2 linked regions of the Arabidopsis thaliana genome follow. The main gene of each other region encodes a partner of the protein of the gene in region 2 in a complex. Each region holds a gene or a part of one and is shown on either strand. Other genes may lie near its edges. The genes, in order: ATHM2 and AT2G04700. A codon is read from its position in the direction of its gene.

Evidence for each region.
Region 1: the proteins of AT2G04700 (region 2) and ATHM2 are in contact, whole or in part, in a crystal structure (PDB 7C3F), measured with the Arabidopsis thaliana proteins. Residues at the interface, in NP_001323778.1 of Arabidopsis thaliana: Thr34, Glu35, Pro36, Asp62, Val65, Val68, Val69, Lys71, Gly72, Glu75, Pro86, Cys87, Arg88, His89, Tyr90, Asp91, Lys93, His116, Cys117, Met118, Met146; in NP_192261.1 of Arabidopsis thaliana: Ala107 (codon at 1,288), Pro108 (codon at 1,285), Trp109 (codon at 1,282), Cys110 (codon at 1,279), Gly111 (codon at 1,276), Pro112 (codon at 1,273), Lys114 (codon at 1,267), Met115 (codon at 1,264), Thr138 (codon at 1,195), Asp139 (codon at 1,192), Pro142 (codon at 1,183), Pro145 (codon at 1,174), Gly146 (codon at 1,171), Val150 (codon at 1,159), Arg151 (codon at 1,156), Ser152 (codon at 1,153), Ile153 (codon at 1,150).

The regions. Positions count from the first base shown.
Region 1 is NC_003075.7:1,561,540-1,566,327, forward strand, and holds ATHM2 (Thioredoxin superfamily protein), read right to left. Parts: upstream 2,666-4,788; 5' UTR 2,517-2,665; coding exon 2,273-2,516; intron 1,857-2,272; exon of another isoform or gene 1,698-1,856; intron 1,363-1,697; coding exon 1,046-1,362; 3' UTR 664-1,045; downstream 1-663. UniProt on the Arabidopsis thaliana protein: Thiol-disulfide oxidoreductase that may participate in various redox reactions. May activate NADP-malate dehydrogenase.
Region 2 is NC_003071.7:1,644,791-1,649,661, reverse strand, and holds AT2G04700 (ferredoxin thioredoxin reductase catalytic beta chain family protein), read right to left. Parts: upstream 2,856-4,871; 5' UTR 2,702-2,855; coding exon 2,602-2,701; intron 2,514-2,601; coding exon 2,401-2,513; intron 2,233-2,400; coding exon 2,183-2,232; intron 2,110-2,182; coding exon 2,038-2,109; intron 1,571-2,037; coding exon 1,510-1,570; intron 1,362-1,509; coding exon 1,317-1,361; 3' UTR 625-1,316; downstream 1-624. Other genes in the region: AT2G04690 (Pyridoxamine 5'-phosphate oxidase family protein), read right to left, coding at 3,627-3,748, 3,831-4,189, 4,272-4,307, 4,859-4,871. UniProt on the Arabidopsis thaliana protein: Catalytic subunit of the ferredoxin-thioredoxin reductase (FTR), which catalyzes the two-electron reduction of thioredoxins by the electrons provided by reduced ferredoxin.

The sequences.
Region 1 (4,788 bases), on a different chromosome or scaffold from region 2:
CGAGAAGACCATTTACAAAGTCCAAATCATAATATTATAATGAAAGTTGTTTGATACAAACAAAAGTCACGAAAATGCATTTATAAAAGTCCAACTGATCTATTATTATAAAACCGGATTGCATCTTTCTTTTGACCTTATCTTCAGCCTAAATATATAATTCTCAAACCAAGGACGGCAACCAAAAAAAAAAAAAAAAGACATTACCAATAGAGAGGTTTCATCAGATTTAACACTTTCGTTCAGACCTAATATATTAGAATATTTTCTTGGCAATCTAAAACTAAAACTTTATGAACTAATCATATAATTTATCTTCTTGATATTTCTGATTTATATTGTCCAAACTAAATAACTTGGTTTTGGTCGAACTTTAGTCATAGACCGGATCAACAACTCTAAAACCTCAAAAGCTTGTCGGGAACTGTGGGATCAGTCCAAAAATAACTCAATTCTTTCGGCTATTATTCATTTTGTCCTAATTGACATATCCTTATCCACAAATTGGGTACACATAAACTATGGTGGATGAATTTCTTTGCTTATGCAAAAATAAGGAGATATTTCGAACGTATTTATTCTCTTTTGCTCGTGGTCGATAAAGACCTTTTTCAGCTGAATACGTATATTCTTTCTTTAGATTAGGACATGTATGAACCTTTAGCCCCTTTTGCATACATGTGCTCATTCATTAGAGTGTCGCATAATATCTTTTAATACGAGGAGTTTTAGAATAAGTAACAAACCTTAGCGTGTGTTCATCAAAAAACTTGCAGAACCAAACAATCTTAAGATCTCTCTCATGACCAAAAAAAGATTGGTGGAATCATTTTAATGTGGTTCCATTAGTCTAGTCCAAGATTGTTCTTTGATACCTTTAGTTCCGCATCTCAAAACATCTTCAAACCAGTAAAAATGACATAAGACATGACATCATATTATTTATCCAGGTCTAGATGTTCAGTGATAATGAGTTACAGAGATAATGAGAACAAGAACGAGAGACAGAGAGATACGAGATCTTACAGACTCCACAAGTGATATTTCATGGCAAGAACTTGTCGAGGCTAGATGTGAGTGTGGTTTTGGGCACTGCACCTATGATTGTATCCTTCTTCTCGCCACCGACAAAGATCATGATCGTTGGGATGCTTCTAACTCCGTACTGGCCGGGAGTATTAGGAGATTCATCAGTGTTTAATTTGTAGAACTTGATCTTCCCAGTGTAATGCTGTGCTAGATCGTTTACAAGCGGATCAATCATCTTGCAAGGTCCACACCATGGTGCCCAAAAGTCGACAACTACAGGCCCAGTTGCTTTAAGAACTAGAGAGTCCCATGTCGAGTCATTGACCACTTGAACTGCAGGATCAATAACACAAATCAACACCTTATTGCCAAAGCTTTTAGAATCATGAATGAAAACAAAATATATCAGCCAAGGTGGACGAATAAAACAAAGAGACAGCTGACCCGTTTATCCATCTTCAGCTAGATCAGTATGTTGTAGCAAGTCTATATGATATTTCCTAAAAATGATCTAGAAGTGAAAGTTTTTCAAAATAGAAATTTGATAGATCCAGTGAAGGATAAAGCTTTATGTTTTCACCAGAGAGGAGAGACCAATGACTGAGTTAACATTGTAGCAGATAATACTGCTAATCTCACCAAACACATTATCACGGAAAAGGACTTACCTATCTAAAATCGTAGAATATCAATGCTAGTGATAACCAAAATCGTTATCTGCTGGTATAGAGAATCAAGATATGTTTACTCTAAAGCACAAAAAGCAACATTCTTCTCTCATGAGCCAAATAACTGTTTCTTGTCACAATGTGTATGATCCAACCAATAAAATATCTGAGTAGGTACCCAACCTAATTTCTAGGTTTGTTAGAGAGACTTTGCATTAATCAAGTAAAATATCCCCAAAAAAGAAGTGATCCTAAAAAGCAACCTTCTTCAAATTTCACGCAAATGGCATGAATCGTTCCTCTAACAGAAACCTCATTTTCAGCAAGAATTTTCTCAAAAGGTATACTCTCCTAAAGAAACTCTTCTTCCTCCTCCAGATTCACTAATCTGTAACTAATCTCAAGTTTTTAGCAGATTACTAAATGCTACAACAAGAACAACAACACAAATTCAAGCACCTTGCTTCTAATTTCCCTCGCACAAATCAATAATCAGTTCTCAAAATCCACCAACGAGCACGAATCAAAGACAAGTTAATAACCAAAATCGAAAAAGGAATAGTGAGAAAACATACTATCGGTAGTAGTTTCCTGAGCTTCACAGACGACGGCTCTTCGTAATCGAGAAACCCTAGGTTGATGAATCGAGGTCAACGAAGCCGGAGAGAGAGAAAGACGGATTCTCAAACCTGATGATTCCGGTAAGACGGCGAACATCCGCCGAGAAGAGAGAGAAGAAGCCGATGGTGATGAGGATACGATTCTGGTCTCGGAGCGGAGAGAAATCGGAGGACGAGAGGTACAAGTGAAAGCAGCCATGGCTATAGATAGAGAGAGGAGAGGTTTCTCCAAATCCCCAAGTGAAAAAATAATATCCAGATAGATAGAGAAAATAAAAAGATAACGAAACTAATGGAAGAGAAAATGTAGACAAAACACTGATGCAGATTTTTTATATATACATCAACACAAACAAATATTTTTGGAAAAATAAGTATTTCTACTAAAAATACAATTAAAATACAGTTGTGAAAAAAATCGAGAAATAATAAATTGAAATATTTTTGAATTTTTTTGATTTGTTGAGCTGTAGATATCATTTGCCCAAAATAACCGAAAAAAGTAGAAAACGAAAACATATTGTAAATTGTTTTTTTAATTGTTTGGGTAAGATAGTGCTCTGACTAAGCCCATCTGTAATAAGCCCATAAAACTTTTGAGATATTTTTTATTGGGCTCATATTAGGCCAGTTGCACTTTTTTTTTTTAATCCAGTCACTTGTGGATTTAACAGAAATTTTAACAAAGTTCCGTTACCCGCAATTTGTGATCTCGGGTCAATTTAATGACTATTTTGGCAACATCAACAAAAAGTTAGCGACTGAAATAAGAAGTCACTAAAAGTTGACTATTGAAATGAAAAGTCAATAAAATTTAAACGTATTATTTTACCCCACACTAATTTTTTTTTTTTTTTTTTTTTTTTTGTATTTTTGAACATTTGAAGATCTCCTGACATTTTTTCGCAATTGTTTTTCTCAAAATTTTCTTTAAAAAAATAAATAAATTATAACGCTTGCTTATAAGATAACTAAAAGTCTAAAATTTTGAATAAAAAACTATTTGGCATGAAAAATTCGCTTTTGTTAACAATTTTCTTCAAAATTGGTTCGTTGAATCCTAAATAATATCTGATGACAAAAAAAAAGATTATAGCAAAAGTATTTTCTTGGAAAACCAACATTTTAAAACTTGATTGGTAATGGTATGACAATTAGCTCTTGAAAAATGAAAACAAAAACAAAATCTTAAAAATCTATAAAACTTTCAAAACCAACATTTTGGATCTGCCTCTTTTTCTTTTTCTTATATACCTCTAGTATTGAGGAACCACTTCAAAGTCTTTCCTCTGATGTCACTTTAGCTCGCTGACATCTCTTCTACTCCTCAATTTCTTTATAATCTCGGTAGATCTCTCTACTAAAGAAATTCCTCCTTTCTTGGTTTCTTCTCAATATTTTGTTTTATTTTTGTTTTCTCTTTCCACATGTCTCTTTTTATTATGTTACAAAAATTTCCTCAATGTTTTCTACGATGTTAGGTTCAATGCGTCCGGTCACCACTTATGTTTTCACTGTAAGAACTCATTATTCCCCAGCCCTATGCGAAGAAAGAAAATGGTGGTAGCTAGAGACCAAGTGATGGATTTTTACAAACGTGTTCATAGTGTCCTCACAGATAAAGAGTTGTCGAAATTAGAAGATTTGAGGCAGCTTATTCGATCAAAATAATCTTACAATAAAGAAGTTATCTTCAACACCGACATCATATCTCTTTTATATGATTCACAGTGTCATTGATGAAATGAAAAGTTGGTTGATAATATTTGTTGCGTTGGGGATGGGTTATTTGATGTTCGAATCCTGGGTTTTGTTTAAAAATTTCGTCTATTAATGTATATAGCTTAGATTGTTGTATATAAGCTTAGTTTGGTTAGTATAGATTTCATATAGAGTCTGTACAGGTTGGTATTCTATAAACCAATCTTAATTTTGGTTTAGAGGCTTATGGTTTAGGCCAATATCAGTTTGTATATAAACCCCCAATTGTACTCTTTTGCTAATTAATGAGAATGAGATTGTTTTACTAATATGGTATCAGAGCAAAATATCTCGATCTCAGTCTCGTAACAAACTTTTCCGATTTGATTTCACTGGAATCTCACCGGAGTTTGTTCATCTTCTCATTTTTTTTCTTCTCTTGAACTTCTACACGTTTTCTCTTCGTTTCCTTTGCGATCCAGTCTCATTTGTTAGCTGTTTCGATTCTCCATGGGTAAACGAAATGGAAAGAGTGTTCGTCGGAGTAGTTCACCGGATCTACTTGTCATTGCTTCATCGAAGATTCATGAGCAGTCTTCTGGTTCATCAGCAAGAGCTCCAGGATCCTCGATTCATGCTGCGATTCATCAACCAGCTCAATACAGCTCATCGCGTCACTTTGAGGTATCGGATTCTCCTGATAATAGTCACAGTCCTTATCATCTTGTTAGCTCCGATCATCCTGGTTTAGTCTTAGCTCCAGAACTGTT
Region 2 (4,871 bases):
AGAAACAATTGTCACGACAAAAATTAATGAATCTCAAGATTTTGTGCCTACCGCATCATTTTCTGCTCTTCTCATATCCTAGAGCATACAAATACAAGTCGGATCGGTGAAAACTAGGCTCGACCTCGATCCACCGGTTTTGTCCATAATACGGGTTCCAAACCACTAGCTTAGCATTGTCTTTCGTGATGTTTAACAACAAACCATCGTAGTGAAAGACTTAAGCTACATCTACTTCATCTGATCGTCTAGGTTAGTAAATTTAGCTTCATGCTTTATACACGATTCAACGTTGGTGTTTAGATTGATGTGCGTCAAATAAACCCTAAAATCAATCATCATGATTACGATAAACTCCTTTTTTCTTTGCTGTACTTTTGCATGACCAACGTGCTTCTTTACAAAGCTCAAATCTTTGAATAAAGTGTTCCACTTTTTGCATGTAAATCAAACTGCTCTTAGAGATTTCATCGGAACCCTAGAGAGGATCTTCTCTACCGTATCCCTTGACCAAAATTAATGTAATGTTAACCTTCGAAAAACAACTCTTTCCAGACTTCTTCCGTCAATTTAAGACATCCTTGACAATGACAACAGAACAACAAAATTACAAACCCTAAAAGGCTTAAATTGAACTTAAAAGCCCAAAACCGATAGTTATGATGGAAATTTATTCATTCAAATTGAAGATAAATAGCGAAGCACTATTGTACAACCAAGTTTCTTCTGATCAGCATAACTAGAGAGGAATACAACAATAATCGACTCTTCATGTGAAGAATACTTTGACATCCACGCATGGCTTGCCCAAAATCCACAACTTGCAAGTATAGAGGCCGTTCATACTTGGCACATGCGAATGCGACATAGAACATTGAACATCACGAGAGAATGGTTGCAAAGAATGGTTACTGTAAAGACCATATCACTGCTTGAAAAAACATAAAACTTGGAGATTGAGATCCGAAGAAGAAGAAGAAGCAAATGAAATACGTTATGAGAAAACTACTGATTTAAGTGGATTGATACTGTTATGGAAGCTTTGGCTTTGAGAGATGTGAAAGAGAAACCTTTAGATCTTTTAAGCTTACTTATTGAAGATTTCGTGTAAAGTTGGATCCTTTTATATAGCTTGTAATCGTTTTGCAAACAAAAGATCATACTAAAGAATATTATCTTAAGAGTGAAAGAGTTGTACAGAAGAACGAAGAAGATGCTCGGGGTATCAATGTACAAGACTGCATTTGGGGCGAGACATATCTCTCTTTTTTTTTACCTAAAGAACAGAGGTGATGAACATGGAAGAACCAGCTCTCTCACATGTTAGCTGTAGTTTCTTTTATTTCATCCGATGTAATCGTCTGCAAGATTCAAACAAGAGAAAGAATTAGAAATCCATATACTATATACTATAGGTTCCCAAATTCCCAATACTACTAAGTTGCTTCGAACCATTAATGGTATCCTTAAAATGGAGACAGAACCTTCAAGCTTTGATTTGAGATTTACCTGATCTTTTCCAGCGAAATCATTATCAGGAGTTAAGAAAAGCATACAATGGCACTCCTTCCTGATGAACAAGTGATAAATACTTTAGTACAAGATGTAAACAAGCAAGTATTATCAGAATAAACCGTCAACAGATGCAAAATTGATCGAACTCTACTACCTAAACTAAGTCCTATTAAAACACAAAGGATCTTAAATTTGCGGTGTATCAGAATTTGATCAAAAGAGCCACATAGGCCAAGAGTTTTACAGGAGTTTTCTAACTATGGTTAATTCAATTTCCACTTGCCTAGCAATATGTGAATACATTCTCTGCATCAATCTTGATACAACCAATACGGAGCATCGGCTACCTCTATGGAAACTACAACATACGTATGCTGCTGAATACTATCCAACTAATAACAACAAGGACGTTGGAGACGATCTATATAACCAGCTTTTCCCAAAGGACTTTATATTCTTAGTTCTAACTATATAGCAACCCCAATGCTTATTATGCAACCACATGAAGAAGATAGTTCTTACCTCTCTCTCATTGGAACACACGGACAATTCCAAAAGCCTTGTCCAACCTCAGCAGCTTTATCATCATAGTGTCTACATCAACAACAAAGGATCAAACTTTACGAATACATAGATAGTTCAAGATTGCTCGGAAGAAGCAAATCACCTGCAAGGGCAAAGCGGTGCACCATATGAATCTTTATGCTCAGCCAAACCCTGCTCACAAAGTTAAGCATTAAACCTCAAGATGTTTACATTCACTAACTCATAATCTACAAGTAGAAAGACACAAGCCACTTCAATAGTTAAGCAGTTGATCACAATCTTCATATCAACACAAGTTCATCTGAAATTTCAATAAGCTCCGATTGAAATCAAGAGTACCTTAATAACGACTGAAGTAACTCCTTTATCAACACAGAAGTAAGTCCCAGAGCGACGAGCATATTGCTCGGAGAATTTCCTCATAATCTCTACTGATTTCTCCGACGGTTCCGCTGCAAAAACAAGAAGAAGATTCAAGATGAATCCAAAACCGAAATCACAATCACTTTAAACAAAGATCTAGGGATTCAAATTGTTTACTTTTCGCTCGGATTACGAAGCGACGAAACGAAGTTCTGGGAGTGACACCAAGTGGACTCGAAAGGAATCCGAAGCTACAAGAAACAGCTTGAAGATTCATCGAGTTTTTTCTGGAATTTGAAGATCGATGAAAAGTTTCGTCGTGGACTTGAAGATTTTTCTTCTCCTCTTGAAATTTGGATTCGTTTATGCTTTTTAGATCGAAATTTTCAGATATTTTTTTGTGTTCATTTTCCAGAAACCAATGCTCGCCACTCACAGAGAGAGAGACTCTCAGAGAATGATAAAGCTTATCCTCAAACCGGAAATAACCGGAATTCGACCATCGAATCGGTTCAAACTTTGCTTCAAAACTTTCGGTTCAATTCGGTTTAGATAAAGAATTTGAGTAGAATTATGAATGAAAAAATCGAGTTTTGGTTTCGGTTCGAGTTGGTGAAATTAGTTTGGTTCAATTGCAATAGAATTCTGATTTGGTTTTAATTTGACTCCAACGTGGTTCAATTACATAAATTTCTAGTTTTATTTTGTTTTAGTGTATTGGATTCAATTCTCTTATGAAAGTTCCGGTTCAATTATGTTTAGATAATAGAATTTAAATTTTAGACTAATGAATAAAAAAAATTGGTTTATTCGGTTTAAATGAGAAATCAAAACCGATTTTCGTTTCGGTTCACGTGGAAGAATTTGTTTTGGTTCAATTGCATAAATTGAAAAGTATTTTGGATACCTTTGAAATTGCTTTGAGGTAATTTACAAGAGATTTTAATATCTATTATGGTCCAAAACAAAGAGTTATTTACAGAAACAGTTACACACTTTTTATTGTTCATCCAATATACATTTTCTTGCTTCACCATTTGCTTGATTCTTGTGAGTTATTATAAAAAGGAAGCGAGTTTGATCCTGAAAACAGTTCAAAAGAACTAAGAGATCAAATGCGAAAAAGGCATACGATTCGAAAATTTTCATAGTTCGGTTTCTCAGAGATTACCGATGTTTTTAAAAGGGTTCACGCAATGTACTTACGACTTGGCATGAAGGTATTCATCTACAGTGATAGGTTTAGCTCCACCATACCAATTGATGAGAAATATATCGATGATCTCGAGTTTAAAGAAGCGGAAATCATGATCCTTAGGCCAATCTGCAAATGATAAAACCATCACATGATAATACAAATCTATCATGAATCTGTATCTTAAGAGATGAGTGAAACAATTAATCACCCATCATCTCTGGATGCTTTGTGAATAAAGCCTTTTTGGCTACTTCTGCTTCCTCAGATCCTCCTTCCAATATCAGCAACTGAAACATTATAATAAGATAAAGACCAAAGCATTTTACAGTAAGTTTCTTTGTCGTGTCAATAAGAAAAAACTCTTTTACCTTCCCGGTAAGGGTTAGTTTAGAGCAAGTAGGATTCATTGGATCTCTTGTACAAGTTCCAAGAGGAGATTCACTAATTGCAAGTGAAGCTCTCTGGTCTTTAAGTGCGTTTCTTGCAGTTGGATCAAGTGTTGTTAAGTAAAAGTAAGGTATACCGTTACCTTTCTCGGGTAAACCATCACTAAACGATACAACATTCCTGCAAATAGAGACCATTGAGATCTCAATAATGTCAAAGCAAGAAAACACATTGTGATATGATTCATGGAAAACAAGATTACCCGAAGGGAGCGCCTTTATGATCAACGGATAGTGTGCTGGAAGAGGAATACAACACCGCAAAAAGAATTAGTAATACACAACTGTTACACTCACATTACCTTGCTGATAACAACAATGCAACAATCTCTTTCACTAATAAAGATCTCAGGTAACTATAGTGTATAGAGTGACCAGTGGTAACTACAGAGTATAGAGGAACCATTTGTTACTCCTAGTGTCAAATCTGAAATCCTAAAAACCTTTCAATTTCAAAAGAATCAAACTTGACGAACTACCAAATCTCAGGAACCCAACAGTACTTGAAAGTCAATATCAATTTCAATAGTATTAAAGCTTGATGAAGCAAATCCATAGCAAGTCTCAAGAACCCAACAAAGTTTATCAACAATAGGATTCAATCTGCTAAAAAAGCTACAAACTTCTGTAAAAATATAACCTTTACCAATTTCAATTTCAAAAGATTCAATCTTTTATCACTGATTGGATTCAATAGCCCTAATAAAGCTCCTAATAATTGAGAGTGGAGCAAAAGCTATCATCTAAACTTGAGAAGCAAGATAAGCAGAAAGAGACGAGAATTAGATACCTAAGAACACCCC